3 linked regions of the Drosophila melanogaster genome follow. The protein of the gene in region 1 purifies or fractionates together with the protein of each later gene. This does not show direct contact. Each region holds a gene or a part of one and is shown on either strand. Other genes may lie near its edges.

What was found. Proteins that work in one complex are often made in the same cells at the same time.
Region 2: the proteins of Act87E (region 1) and alpha-Spec purify together in Drosophila melanogaster (affinity purification with western blotting, with the first as the bait; one study listed by BioGRID). This does not show direct contact.
Region 3: the proteins of Act87E (region 1) and glob1 purify together in Drosophila melanogaster (affinity purification with western blotting; one study listed by BioGRID). This does not show direct contact.

The regions. Positions count from the first base shown.
Region 1 is NT_033777.3:13,424,049-13,428,880, reverse strand, and holds Act87E (actin 87E), read right to left. Parts: upstream 2,899-4,832; 5' UTR 2,839-2,898; exon of another isoform or gene 2,703-2,838; intron 2,435-2,702; exon of another isoform or gene 2,299-2,434; 5' UTR 2,278-2,298; coding exon 1,147-2,277; 3' UTR 506-1,146; downstream 1-505. UniProt on the Drosophila melanogaster protein: Actins are highly conserved proteins that are involved in various types of cell motility and are ubiquitously expressed in all eukaryotic cells.
Region 2 is NT_037436.4:1,792,313-1,796,925, forward strand, and holds the start of alpha-Spec (alpha spectrin), read right to left. Parts: upstream 3,017-4,613; 5' UTR 2,887-3,016; intron 1,189-2,886; exon of another isoform or gene 1,104-1,188; coding exon of another isoform or gene 1-1,103. Other genes in the region: dlt (discs lost), read right to left, coding at 1-1,103; Cdc37 (cell division cycle 37), read left to right, coding at 3,388-3,420, 3,481-3,684, 3,866-4,525, 4,590-4,613. UniProt on the Drosophila melanogaster protein: Spectrin is the major constituent of the cytoskeletal network underlying the erythrocyte plasma membrane. It associates with band 4.1 and actin to form the cytoskeletal superstructure of the erythrocyte plasma membrane.
Region 3 is NT_033777.3:15,901,628-15,906,488, forward strand, and holds the start of glob1 (globin 1), read right to left. Parts: upstream 3,017-4,861; 5' UTR 2,875-3,016; intron 958-2,874; exon of another isoform or gene 816-957; intron 757-815; exon of another isoform or gene 575-756; intron 1-574.

The sequences.
Region 1 (4,832 bases):
ATACAGTACAACATACCCTACCCGTATCTCGTCTATTTTCGATTTGGGCACCCCATTCCAGGAATCCCGAGTCCCGAGGAGGCCCATCTGCCTGGTGTCGTCTGTCTGCTCGATCTTCAAGTACAAGCGTCCCGGACCAGCCACACAAATGTACTTGAAATTCCAAGATATTTTTGCAGCCCCCGAGGTCGTGGCACTGCAATTTAAAAGACAGCCGGCGGTCGCTTCTCCCAGCGGCTATGTTAACTCCAAAAAAACGGCCATCTCACACATTGTTACAGTGGAACATACCTAAAATATACTTAACTAGGTCTTGAACGAAGACTGTTTTCAGCGAGCTCTTGTATTCCTAATTAGTTTAGTTTTAAAAATATATATTTTCGAATCCCTTTAAAGTTGATATTCTGACATTCAAAGTCACATATTTGTTCAATCTACTGTGGGTTGACTGTAGTCTTAGAAGACATTTGTTAATACTTCGGCATGTTGATTTGCCGCTTTTGTTGTTTCCTTTGGTCTGTATTTTTAGATCCACGACGAGGGGGGCAGCTCCTGCACCGACTGGCAATGGGCAAAAATGGACTGTCTTGGAGGCGTCTATGCTGGGATTACCGTGCTCATCCCCAGCCACATATGTACATATGTATGTGCACCCCAGTCGAGGAGATCCACCTCCAGATTTCGCTCTTTGCAGTGGGCGTGCAAAATTTCGTAATTTCCTGTGCGTCGCTAAAAATAATCGCATAGCATGCCGCTTGCAGCGAATAAAAGATACGTTTCGTTTAAAATTTAGATTTAATTTATAGAGGATGCTAGTATAATTTATTTTTAAAACTGTAAAATTTTGCATTCTTGTGTCTCCTCAACTCCTCCTTCAGCGCCATCAAGCGGCTCTCCAATAAATATTAATATAAGTATAATACATGCTGTTACAATCGCGGTTCCTTCGGTTTTCTTTGGATGGCAGGGCAGCAAGAGGTTTTAACTTAAGATTAATCATCAATAGCACTAGGCTATAGATCTTGATTTGGTATTTGGTTGTTGCTGTTCATGTTGTTCTTGTTGTTGTTGTGTGGTGTTCTGTGGCGTGGTGTGGTTGGGTCTCAATGCCCGTGTGGTTTGCAGTGTCTGTGGTGTTTAGATCGCTTAGAAGCACTTGCGGTGGACGATTCCTGGGCCGGACTCGTCGTACTCCTGCTTGGAGATCCACATCTGCTGGAAGGTGGACAGGGAGGCCAGGATGGAGCCACCGATCCAGACGGAGTACTTGCGCTCCGGTGGGGCAATGATCTTGATCTTGATGGTGGACGGCGCCAGGGCGGTGATCTCCTTCTGCATACGATCGGCAATACCAGGGTACATGGTGGTACCACCCGACATGACGATGTTAGCATACAGATCCTTACGGATGTCCACATCGCACTTCATGATCGAGTTGTACACGGTCTCGTGGATGCCGCACGATTCCATTCCCAGGAAAGAGGGCTGGAACAGCGACTCTGGGCAGCGGAAACGTTCGTTGCCGATGGTGATCACCTGTCCGTCGGGAAGCTCGTATGACTTCTCCAGGGATGTGGAGGCGGCGGCGGTGGCCATCTCCTGCTCAAAGTCCAGGGCAACATAGCACAGCTTCTCCTTGATGTCGCGAACGATTTCACGCTCAGCGGTGGTGGTGAATGAGTAACCGCGCTCGGTCAGGATCTTCATCAGGTAGTCGGTCAAATCGCGACCAGCCAGATCCAGACGCAGGATGGCGTGGGGCAGGGCGTAACCCTCGTAGATGGGCACGGTGTGGGAGACACCGTCACCGGAGTCGAGGACAATACCGGTGGTACGACCGGAGGCGTACAGCGAGAGCACAGCCTGGATGGCCACATACATGGCGGGTGCGTTGAAGGTCTCGAACATGATCTGGGTCATCTTCTCGCGATTGGCCTTGGGGTTCAGGGGGGCCTCGGTCAGCAGGACGGGGTGTTCCTCGGGGGCGACGCGCAGCTCGTTATAGAAAGTGTGGTGCCAGATCTTCTCCATATCGTCCCAGTTGGTGATGATGCCGTGCTCGATGGGGTATTTCAGGGTGAGGATACCACGCTTGCTCTGGGCCTCATCACCAACATAGGAGTCCTTCTGTCCCATGCCCACCATTACGCCCTGATGACGGGGACGACCCACAATCGAGGGGAAGACGGCGCGGGGCGCATCATCGCCGGCGAATCCTGCCTTGCACATTCCGGAACCATTGTCCACGACCAATGCGGCAACCTCATCGTCACACATCTTGGCTACTGGCTGTTTTCACTGCAACAACAACGAGAACGGAGGCGGTTTTTAGAAGGAGAAGTGAGAAGTGGGCTTTCGGTATTCGGATTGGGTATGGATTTTAATTGTAATCTTGTGTGTAAGTGTGAAATTATGAAATACGTGTAGGTGTTGCCTCAGAACATGTATGACTTTAAAAGAAAGAGTATCTTTGCAGAGGAGCAATCATTAAAATTAATAAAAAAGGGCTGTCTTCAACTTTTGAAAATATTACATACTTTAATAAAAGTTTTAATTAATTATAATTTTTGATTTAAGATCAAACAACTAATATTTTTCAGTTTTAACATTTTAAAGAATGTTTTTTTAAACAAAAATTAGTCACTATTAAAAACCAAACATTTAAGGATCGTTGATTAAACTTTTTCTGCTCCTTGTCAAATATGTTGTTTGTTGAGATCTCTATCTTTCCAAAGTATCTTTCTTTTCAGAAAGTTGGGCACTGTACACTGGATCCAGCATCGGATTGGGTAAAAGTCAACCAGACAGACGGAATTGGTGGATGTGGAGTATACTAACCGTTAGACGAAGAAAAACTAGAAATCCAAATCAACACTTTCGCTGTAGAACTGCGAGTGGTCGCTGGACCGAGATGCGCTAATATTTATACCATTCTGGCGACCCTCAGTCGTTTTAGATATTTTCCGCACGCACACTCAATCGCCTCTCGGCACACATGTGCACATGGATGCACATTGCGCCGGCGGGGGGAGATTCTGAGTTTCTTTTAAAAATAATTTGTTTTCGTTGGATTTTTGCTTTTGGACTTCTGCTCGCTTCGTTCATAATTTCCCAGATGGTGCACTGCAGGAAAGATGGCTCAAAATATGTTATGAGAAAATATAGATTTTTGTAAAGCGCATATGATGGAATGAAAATAATCAATTTTGTACCTATTTTCTATTGTGTAATGATTTTCTAATATTAAAATATCATACCACAAACTACTTCTTAAGTATTATTATTATATTATTAAGTAAATATGCCAGAAAAATATTTAATACTTTTAATTATTTGGTTTAAAGCTAAGTAAAGGCTTGTGAACTTGGTGATGTTTAGGTCACAGCTTTCAACATTTTCTCTTTGTGTAATATCGACTGAGAAACAGAGAAACAGACGGATCTGAGCGCCTTGGTAAACAACATCGCGATGGCACACAGACACTCACACCCGAGAAGATCCTCCGGATCGGAGCATCCCAATCGTAGGCGTAATGTTTGCTCTCCATCCGAATCCGAATCGTTATCTTTATATGTATTTGTATCTGTTGCTATATCTTTGTCTGCAGCTGCGGAGGTGTCTGCAGATGTATGGGTGGCGTGTTCGTTTTTTGTTTTGTCTAATTTTTAATCAACATTTGCACGTTGGCCCAATCCATACATGGTTGCGATGGAAATCTCTCAGCGATGATGAGAACGCACTCGCAATTAGAAATAAGAATTTCAAAACTAAACCAAAACTTATATACCGCCGCATTCTCTCGGCCATAATTTGTTGGGTGTGGGCTGTTTTTCTGGGTGGGTGGGTTGGTTGTTGGTTTTGGGGATAGCTGGTTAGGGACCCAAAAGCCATAAACACAAACGGAAAATTGTTAATAGAGCGAATAGTGCATTTATAGATTTGCCAGATTTTTTCGGTTGGCCAAATTGACATTAATTAATACGCCCCAACTTATTTGGCCATTAACATTTCTCTTCGAGTTTTTCTTCTTGGCACACACTCATCAATCACAAACGAGATCATTGAAAGCTATTCAGTTAATGATCAAAACTCTTAATAGACTTATATGGTGCTATGAGAATTTTTAAAAATAATAACAAACGGAAAAATGCGTTTGTTGTTTACACTACACATATTCTCTCAATTCGTTGAGAGTGTTGGTGTGGGTGGGAAAACCGTGTATGAGATGGAAAAGTCGGGGAAAGCAAAAATAATTTAAATGAAAACCGTGCGCTCTCACGTTTTTGCAAGAGATTCTTGGACGCTTACGCGTAGAAACGTATCTAGAGTTTGGAATTCTATTTTTAGTAAGGAACTTACGAAATTTGTATATTTAAATCTAGATAAGTATGCGAGTGGCCAATTATCACAGGTGAGGAAATACAATTTCTTGACAGAAATGATTATGTACCGTGTCTAGTACCTACTGGAAATGTCTTAACTTTTATTAAATATTGTATTCAATCTCCATGATCCCCACTAATGATGTTACTTTCCATAAATAATATAGAATTTCCCACATATGTATATATGCGTTCATTCACTCTGTTTTCCCCGCTATCAGCTGAGTAATCGGCAAACATTTTCACAACGCCTTGTTGGGCGCCATTCATTTGGTTTGCCACAACGCCTAGCTGGTCATCATTAATATAAAAATAAACATGAATATATGTTAACAGTTGTGTATTATTTTTTTGTGAAATTTTTCGGCCCACATTAGCTGCCCAGCAGCTGATTGAATTGTGTTGGCCAGCAACAACACAAATCTGCCAATTTGATGATACTGCAACAAA
Region 2 (4,613 bases), on another chromosome or scaffold:
TGGGTGAGTCCCTCCAAAGCACTGGGTACATACGATTTGACGGGTGATTGGCCAAAATCTCGCACATTTAGCAGATGGACCACAAAACTAAGTTCACGTAGTACGTTGGGCACCAAATTGAGGTCCATTAACAGGCTGTAAATGGTTGATAGGAGCTGCAAGTGATTGGCATTAGCCACACCCTCCAAGCTAATGGCTTCCTCAGGGAAAACCTCATCTTCGGGTGTCCTCTCCTGTTGACTAACATTCACAGGCGCTTCGCTTTTGATTTCCTGCTTTTTGAGCAACAGGAACTTGCGGGCCTCCATTTCCAGGGCTGCTTCTTGGCTTCTATCGAAGATTTCGCTGCTCTGCGAGATTCGCCAAAAGTTATTTTCATTGCTAAAGGAACTGGTGTCTCCGAAAGAGGAGCTGGCCGAAACATTCTTGCTAATGGTCATGGGTAAGACACGTCGCCGCGGCTTGGATTGTGGCGTGGCTCCAGCTCCAGTTCCTGAACCCAATGATGCATGTTGATTTTGCTGCTGTTTTTGGGGCGTGATCTTCTTCTTAGATCGCTGATGGCTCTGGATAGGTGTATTGACCAGAAAGTTGCCCAAGCAGATGCTGTGCCCTCCTCCTGCTCCCCCACCGCCGCTTCTGTTAGGCGTGCTGCAAAACTGGGCGCCACTTCCTGGCGTTGATCTTCTGCCCTGCGGCTGCTGGGGAGCCGGAGTAGTATTCGAAGTGGAGGACATACTGCAGCTGCTCCGGCTAAGGATCGAGGACTCATTGAGCTGCTGCTGTTCCTCCTCCTTGACCACATCGGCGACCGGCGGCTTGAGCTGATGGATGGGGGTCAAGGGAAACACGGGTGTCTCCGAGTTTTGCGAATAGTAGTACCTCTTTGTGCTTTGACGCAGTGCACCTAAAAAGTAGGTGGCGAAGTCCTCTAGTGTGCAGTTACTCTGGTTATCACCCTTGCCAACCTTTTTAAAATAGGCGACGAACTTTTGCTCCAGCTGGTGGTGCGGCACCTTCTCCAGTTGCGCAAGCAGCTGCAGCAGATGCCTCTCTTCCGGCTTCGTCATTTCTGTATCTGACGCTTTGAGCTCTGCAGTCATGTTCCGGTGATCTATTTTCTGTGCCTTAGCTCGAGCTATTTTCAACCTTTGGCCCTCCTCCAATCCCTCTCTCCCTTTTGTTTCCCTGCAACGGAAGAGGAGAGAAGGGAAATGTTGGCTCGGCTTTTGTGGGTTTCGTTTTCTAAGTTATTTTTAGAGTTGTTTGGATGGGTTGAAGTTGCAGGATTTTCTTTTTTTTCTGTATAAACAATATGTTTTCACACAATAAACTAAATCAACGTAAACGACACGTAAAATGCTACGAGTTGTGATGACTTCATCACCTGTACTAAAAGTTGTAATAAGGTTATAGTTAGGCGGGAAATTATGAGGAATATATTTGTAGGTCAGGTTTGGAAAAACGCACATGTATGCTAAACAAATTTGTAAAGGTATTAACCTTAACAATAAAAGAATAGTAGGTTTCTAAAAGTATCTAAATATTGCATCAACAATTTTTTGTTGTTAAAGTATAAATATTTTCTATGAATTCTTATAAGATATCATTTATTTTAATTTCCAAACTTAGTTGATAGCCCATAAAATCACATTTCTAATAGTTTCCAATTTTTAGTGCTAAAAAAAAAAAAAAAACAACTCAGATAAGAAAAGCAGAGAAATATCTGAAATTCTCAGCTACACTACACAGAAGGTAAAATAGTTAAGATTGGCCAAGAATGATTAATAGAGAAAAGCCAAGGAGTGAATTTTTGTCAATAGAGTAACATGAAATACAATTAGCACTAACGATAAGGAAATCCGTGGAATGTCCGGATTTTAATACTTAATACTTCAAAATCGCCCCTTTAGAAGGGGTCAGCAGAGCAAGCAATGACATCATTTAGGGGAGAGGGTGGGTCAGCATGCAGAGAAACAAACAAACAACACTCTTTGCCACAGGAAATTGAAATAAATCAGAGGGAGATGGCAACAGCCCAGGGCTTGGCAGCCATACAATGTTGGAGCTCACATACAAACACACAGGCAGGCCAATTTAACTGTTTATCGCGGTGGCAAACAAAAACAACATCAGAAACGGCAATTGCGAGAGATCGCACCTCAAAAAGAGAGCGAATAGAAAGAGACGGAGAGAGCGAAACATTAATTGAAGTGTCTATCAGAAAATAGCAGAGGATGACGTAATGCGTACGCTTTGGAATTATGAGCAATCAATGAAGAGGCACAAAAAATCAACTGGTACGCAAGACTACTACGAACACGGAATCGCCTGGCAAGCAAACAAAAATATCCTATGCAAACACAGGCCTTCAAGAAAGTCAAGGACACTTGCCCACCCAAAACTTTGGCATATGTAAGGCAAGCACTTTGCTTTTTTTTTATTCGTACTTAAATATCTTGGAAACACAAACAAGCAAAGAGAGGGAGAGTGTGCTCTCCCGCTTTCTCTCATCTGAAGTTGCCGCACCACCACCACCACCCGATGACGTACACACACACAGCGTTCTCTACTCCTGCGTAACCGCACACACACATGCACAACAGGAGCACCAGATACTTTTTCTTAAGTTGCAATTGGAGTCAAGAATTTTGAAAGAAATTCAAAATTTCTATTACTAATCAAGCAGTGACATTGCACAGCATAGCTTTTCAGTTATGGCCAAGACTTTTCTCTCACTTTAGCCCCGTTAATTGGATTTTTGTGTTGCCTTCGAGGGTGTGGCGTTGACCCGAAAAATTTTCACTTTGCACGCACACCGAATTTCAATTGCATTTTGAACCCAACTAACAGTGAGCTACGGACGAAAACTATGTAGAAACTTACACTTTGATGGCAATCTATTTGTTCACAGTTACTTTGTTAATTTAACTATTGATTTGCAGTAGTTATTCGTAATTTTCACGGAGCGCCTCTATTTCACGGGACCGCAGTTTTTTTCAATATGTCGGCCGATTGGCGCAGAACATTGACATCAATATCGCGATTTCTATCGATGTCAATCGATTATAAACATAGTTCTCTTTCTGGTCGCTTTGGCGCCTTAGTCATCTCATTATTTTTCTAGTAGATGTAGATGAGTAGTAGTAGATGATGTAAATAAATTAAAAACGACAGGGTATTTCAATTCAATCTGGTGCACTCATGCATGACTACTATTTCCTAGCGCGGCCCCAGAGTAAGCGGGGCTTATTATGGTATTATTCCGCAATAGCCCTGCGGTCACACTAATTTCCAGAGCAATCCAAAAAAAGGAAGCAGCCGAAAAAGAACAAAAACCTGCAGCATTTACATTCAAATATAAATCCGAAGCAAAGAAACAGCAAAATGGTGGACTACAGCAAGTGGAAGAACATCGAGGTGAGCCCACTGCTGGGTGCCAACCCAAAAAGTCCTCCTAATCGGCACACTACCTTTTAGATTTCGGATGATGAGGACGACACTCACCCAAACATAGACACGCCTTCTCTGTTCCGCTGGCGGCACCAGGCGCGCGTGGAGCGCATGGCGGAGATGGACCACGAGAAGGACGAGCTTAAGAAAAAGCGCCAGAGCTACCAGGCGCGCCTCATGGACGTCAAGGAGCGGATCTCAAAGAAGGATGGCGACGAGGAGGCCCTGAAGGTGGGTCATTGCACCGAATGCACTGCGCACTTGTTGCTTAGGCTAATGCCTGGTCTGGGAGTTCCCTATGTTCTCAATCCATCTAATTTATTCTTATTGTCAAGCTTATGATTGACTATCATCCTAAGTGGCCATCCATCTTTCATCGCAATGCTTAATCCCTAATTTGTATCGCCTACAGAAAGAGCTCGAAAAGATCGAGGCCGAGGGCAAAGAGCTGGACCGCATCGAGAGCGAGATGATTAAGAAGGAAAAGAAAACACCCTGGAACGTGGACACCATCAGCAAGCCCGGCTTTGAGAAGACCGTAATCAACAAGAAGGCCGGCCGCAAGCCGGATGAGAATCTGTCCGAGGAAGAGCGAGAGCAGCGCATGAAGCAATTCGTCAAGGAGAACGAGAAGCTCTGCCAGCAGTATGGCATGCTGCGCAAGTACGACGATTCGAAGCGGTTTCTGCAGGAGCATCTTCACTTGGTGGGCGAGGAGACGGCCAACTACCTAGTCATTTGGTCCATCAACCTGGAAATGGAGGAGAAGCACGAGCTGATGGCCCACGTGGCGCATCAGTGCATTTGCATGCAGTACATTCTAGAGTTGGCCAAACAGCTGGACGTGGATCCTCGCGCCTGTGTCAGCTCCTTCTTCTCAAAGATCCAGCACTGTCATCCCGAGTACCGCGCGCAGTTCGACAGCGAGATCGAAGGTTTCAAAGGACGTATCCAGAAGCGTGCGCAGGAGAAGATCCAGGAGGCGATAGCCCAGGCCGAAGAGGAGGAGCGCAAGGAGCGCCTCGGACCTGGTGGTCTGGACCCAGCCGATGTCTTTGAATCCCTGCCCGATGTACGTTCTAGTGATTCACTGTATGGGAATTACTTGACTAACTTTTCATGTATTTGCTCCGCAGGAACTAAAGGCCTGTTTCGAGTCC
Region 3 (4,861 bases), 2.5 Mb from region 1:
GTCACATTTCATAACAAATTCAAAATGGGACGACACCTGTCGAACCAACACGCCCAAATCAAACATTTTCCAGTGACACCTGTGGACCTTCCGACGTTTTAAAGGAGCGTAGTCAAAGTGCTGGCCCCAAAACAAAGCTATCTCTTAAAAGCTTGGGCTTAGAACAGGAAAAGCTTACTTAACCGTTGGGCAGTGGCTTTCTTCAAATGCGCAATGTAATCTAAGCTTTAGGAGCTATAAACAAATATTTGTTGTCGTGATGTCTAAGCTATCTTCAAATATAATTATGTAATTAATCCAGCAAAACAAATGAAAGCACATTTTGTATTAGAAATGAAAAAATTCAAAGATTTTTAAAACTAGTTAGGTCGACTCTTAATATTTCGATGTTTAAGATTCGCAATATGACAAATCTTTTCAAACACTCCATTCAGTTGTTTTGTTTATTTGTTTATTCTTTACTTCAACAATAATCTTCTATTTGTTCTTATCAATATATCACATGCACAAGTGAAAGATTTAGCCTTATCGTGGCGCTGTACTATTTTTATAAATGTTTATTCACTATCACTACCTTAATAAGCCTCCATCAGTAATTTTCAATAAACCAAGTGGCGGACAAACAAACAAGCACTGCCAATTTATACCCAACAAAATGCGTTGCATTCAAATATCACACCGCACACGGATTGTTTATTTTGCTACTATATGAACGGGAATTGTAAGCAACGTCGATTTACGAATGCAATCACTCTACTATAAATATTTGCATAAATATGGATGGGATAGAACACTATTTTCCAATTCACACTCACAGTTTATATCAAATGCCAGGCAACTGCACACGACGCCGTTAATATTTGAACTGAATAGAATTTCTAGCCCGACTGGCCTTTATAAAAGACTTCCGAGCGGCAACAACAACTGACACAAAATAAACGCAGCAAACGAAGCTACAAAAGTTTCCGAGCTGATAATCTTCGTACACTATCATCCAGAGAGGTCAACTTGGGTGAAAGTATACGTATGGGTCTTTCATTTCGTAAGATTTGGTAAATATTGTCTGAGACTGCTTGTCACAACATTAGAACGAAGCGAATCAATAAAACGCGCGCTCCGAATTTTGAAGCTTCGGAGTTTTAGGAGTCAGGAGATTAAAAGAAGCAGCAAAATCCAGTTTTCGGCTAGACTACAAGACATAATTACTTTAAGTATAAAGAACTAACCTTGATAATCAAATTTACCTATACCTAAGCTTAAAAAAGGCAAACATTGTATTCGAAAATATTAGATGATTGTAACAAAGCAAACAATTCGCTTCACTGTGAAGAATAAATCAAATGCTAATCCAAAACATAATGTATCAAATTACAATATTTGTAAAGCTCTCCTTTAGTACACTAAATTCTTCTACCAGGTGGATCCAATCCAAAAGCAAACTGCAAACAAATAACACCTTTCGTGACGAGCTATTTGTTTTCCCGTGCCTTGAATAATTATTGATCAAGGTTAATTTAAATATAGCATGATGGATATCTTGGTATTAGATTGTGAAAGTTAATGTCGTTTTCGTCATTCCATCTTTGGCGACAATGTATTTAATTTTATTTACGTTTTAAAGACTATTTTCAACTAATTGTAGGAACTGCAGTCCAGACAATATAAGAGTAAAATCTTGTTGATATTAAAAAAAAATCAAGCCCTAAGAAAATTTCGCACTGCAATTATAGGTGTTCAATTATACAATATTTTGTTCACAATTTATTGTCAATTTTTTTTCAAATCACGTCACAGTTTCCTGTTGAAGTTTTTTTTGTTAAACACAGTATGGTTTAAGCCCAATTTGGAAGTAATTATATTACAGTCGAGACTTTAATACAAATGACGCTATATTCGCTGAAACAAACAAATTAGTAAGTGCGTGATTAAATTATTTGTTTAGTACTTCCAGATGAGAGAGGCGTAGTTCAACGGGGGCTTTGAGGTGTGTCATTTGCCCAAAACAATTGATATTCCGATCAGGCGTAGAGCCCACTTATGGACACTCCCCCGATTTGCTGTCACATTTCATAACAAATTCAAAATGGGACGACACCTGTCGAACCAACACGCCCAAATCAAACATTTTCCAGTGACACCTGTGGACCTTCCGACGTTTTAAAGGAGCGTAGTCAAAGTGCTGGCCCCAAAACAAAGCTATCTCTTAAAAGCTTGGGCTTAGAACAGGAAAAGCTTACTTAACCGTTGGGCAGTGGCTTTCTTCAAATGCGCAATGTAATCTAAGCTTTAGGAGCTATAAACAAATATTTGTTGTCGTGATGTCTAAGCTATCTTCAAATATAATTATGTAATTAATCCAGCAAAACAAATGAAAGCACATTTTGTATTAGAAATGAAAAAATTCAAAGATTTTTAAAACTAGTTAGGTCGACTCTTAATATTTCGATGTTTAAGATTCGCAATATGACAAATCTTTTCAAACACTCCATTCAGTTGTTTTGTTTATTTGTTTATTCTTTACTTCAACAATAATCTTCTATTTGTTCTTATCAATATATCACATGCACAAGTGAAAGATTTAGCCTTATCGTGGCGCTGTACTATTTTTATAAATGTTTATTCACTATCACTACCTTAATAAGCCTCCATCAGTAATTTTCAATAAACCAAGTGGCGGACAAACAAACAAGCACTGCCAATTTATACCCAACAAAATGCGTTGCATTCAAATATCACACCGCACACGGATTGTTTATTTTGCTACTATATGAACGGGAATTGTAAGCAACGTCGATTTACGAATGCAATCACTCTACTATAAATATTTGCATAAATATGGATGGGATAGAACACTATTTTCCAATTCACACTCACAGTTTATATCAAATGCCAGGCAACTGCACACGACGCCGTTAATATTTGAACTGAATAGAATTTCTAGCCCGACTGGCCTTTATAAAAGACTTCCGAGCGGCAACAACAACTGACACAAAATAAACGCAGCAAACGAAGCTACAAAAGTTTCCGAGCTGATAATCTTCGTACACTATCATCCAGAGAGGTCAACTTGGGTGAAAGTATACGTATGGGTCTTTCATTTCGTAAGATTTGGTAAATATTGTCTGAGACTGCTTGTCACAACATTAGAACGAAGCGAATCAATAAAACGCGCGCTCCGAATTTTGAAGCTTCGGAGTTTTAGGAGTCAGGAGATTAAAAGAAGCAGCAAAATCCAGTTTTCGGCTAGACTACAAGACATAATTACTTTAAGTATAAAGAACTAACCTTGATAATCAAATTTACCTATACCTAAGCTTAAAAAAGGCAAACATTGTATTCGAAAATATTAGATGATTGTAACAAAGCAAACAATTCGCTTCACTGTGAAGAATAAATCAAATGCTAATCCAAAACATAATGTATCAAATTACAATATTTGTAAAGCTCTCCTTTAGTACACTAAATTCTTCTACCAGGTGGATCCAATCCAAAAGCAAACTGCAAACAAATAACACCTTTCGTGACGAGCTATTTGTTTTCCCGTGCCTTGAATAATTATTGATCAAGGTTAATTTAAATATAGCATGATGGATATCTTGGTATTAGATTGTGAAAGTTAATGTCGTTTTCGTCATTCCATCTTTGGCGACAATGTATTTAATTTTATTTACGTTTTAAAGACTATTTTCAACTAATTGTAGGAACTGCAGTCCAGACAATATAAGAGTAAAATCTTGTTGATATTAAAAAAAAATCAAGCCCTAAGAAAATTTCGCACTGCAATTATAGGTGTTCAATTATACAATATTTTGTTCACAATTTATTGTCAATTTTTTTTCAAATCACGTCACAGTTTCCTGTTGAAGTTTTTTTTGTTAAACACAGTATGGTTTAAGCCCAATTTGGAAGTAATTATATTACAGTCGAGACTTTAATACAAATGACGCTATATTCGCTGAAACAAACAAATTAGTAAGTGCGTGATTAAATTATTTGTTTAGTACTTCCAGATGAGAGATTCAAGACACGATGTTAGTAATTAAAAGAGACTTTGGATGAAATTCCTTAAGTACCAAAAATTAGTAGGCTTGCCACGTGCCATATGTTCCCACAAAAATATGAATTGAATTTTAAATATCTATAGGTACTAGAAGTATTGTGGAAAAGAATAATTGGTTTCATTCATGCACGTTTAAAGACTGATTCAATTGTAAACCTTTTTATAAAATGAATTAAAATATAAATGATTATCCAAGGTAAAACAGAATATTAGTTTTTCAGTTACATTTTATTTATATTCGTTTGGCTTAGCTTTATTTCTTTAGGAAACTAATTGTTTTCCTACTTTGACTGGCCGCATAAATTATACCATATGCTGCACATTGTCATTTATGTCCTCAAACTTGAAATTTGGCATGGGGGCCCAACGAATCCGCTCCTGAGTAAACAAAAGGCTGCTCGCGAGGTGAAAACAAACCACAACAATGATCCCCCAGAGAGCGCCGAAAACGAAAATAATTGGAGAGGGAGAGCGTGTTATCCAATTTTTCGGGGGAACTACTTGTGTGTTCAGCAAGCATATGAGCGGCCAGATCCGCAGTGTGGCAAACCCGCTCAGTATCGTTTCAGCCATAAAGGTAGTTGGTCGGAAAGAGCAGATAAAACTCGATCAACGCGAGAGTTTTGGCTGAAGATAAACGGCGAGCATCGGGAAAGTAAACAGAGGCGCAAAAACAAATGTTTGACTAATCTTAATTGGATAATTATATCACAATGGACGCAGTGCAGCAGCAAACAAACAGCACTAGCAACATCGACAGCGCCAAATGCCAGAAGCTAAAGAGATTTGTGATCGTAGGCT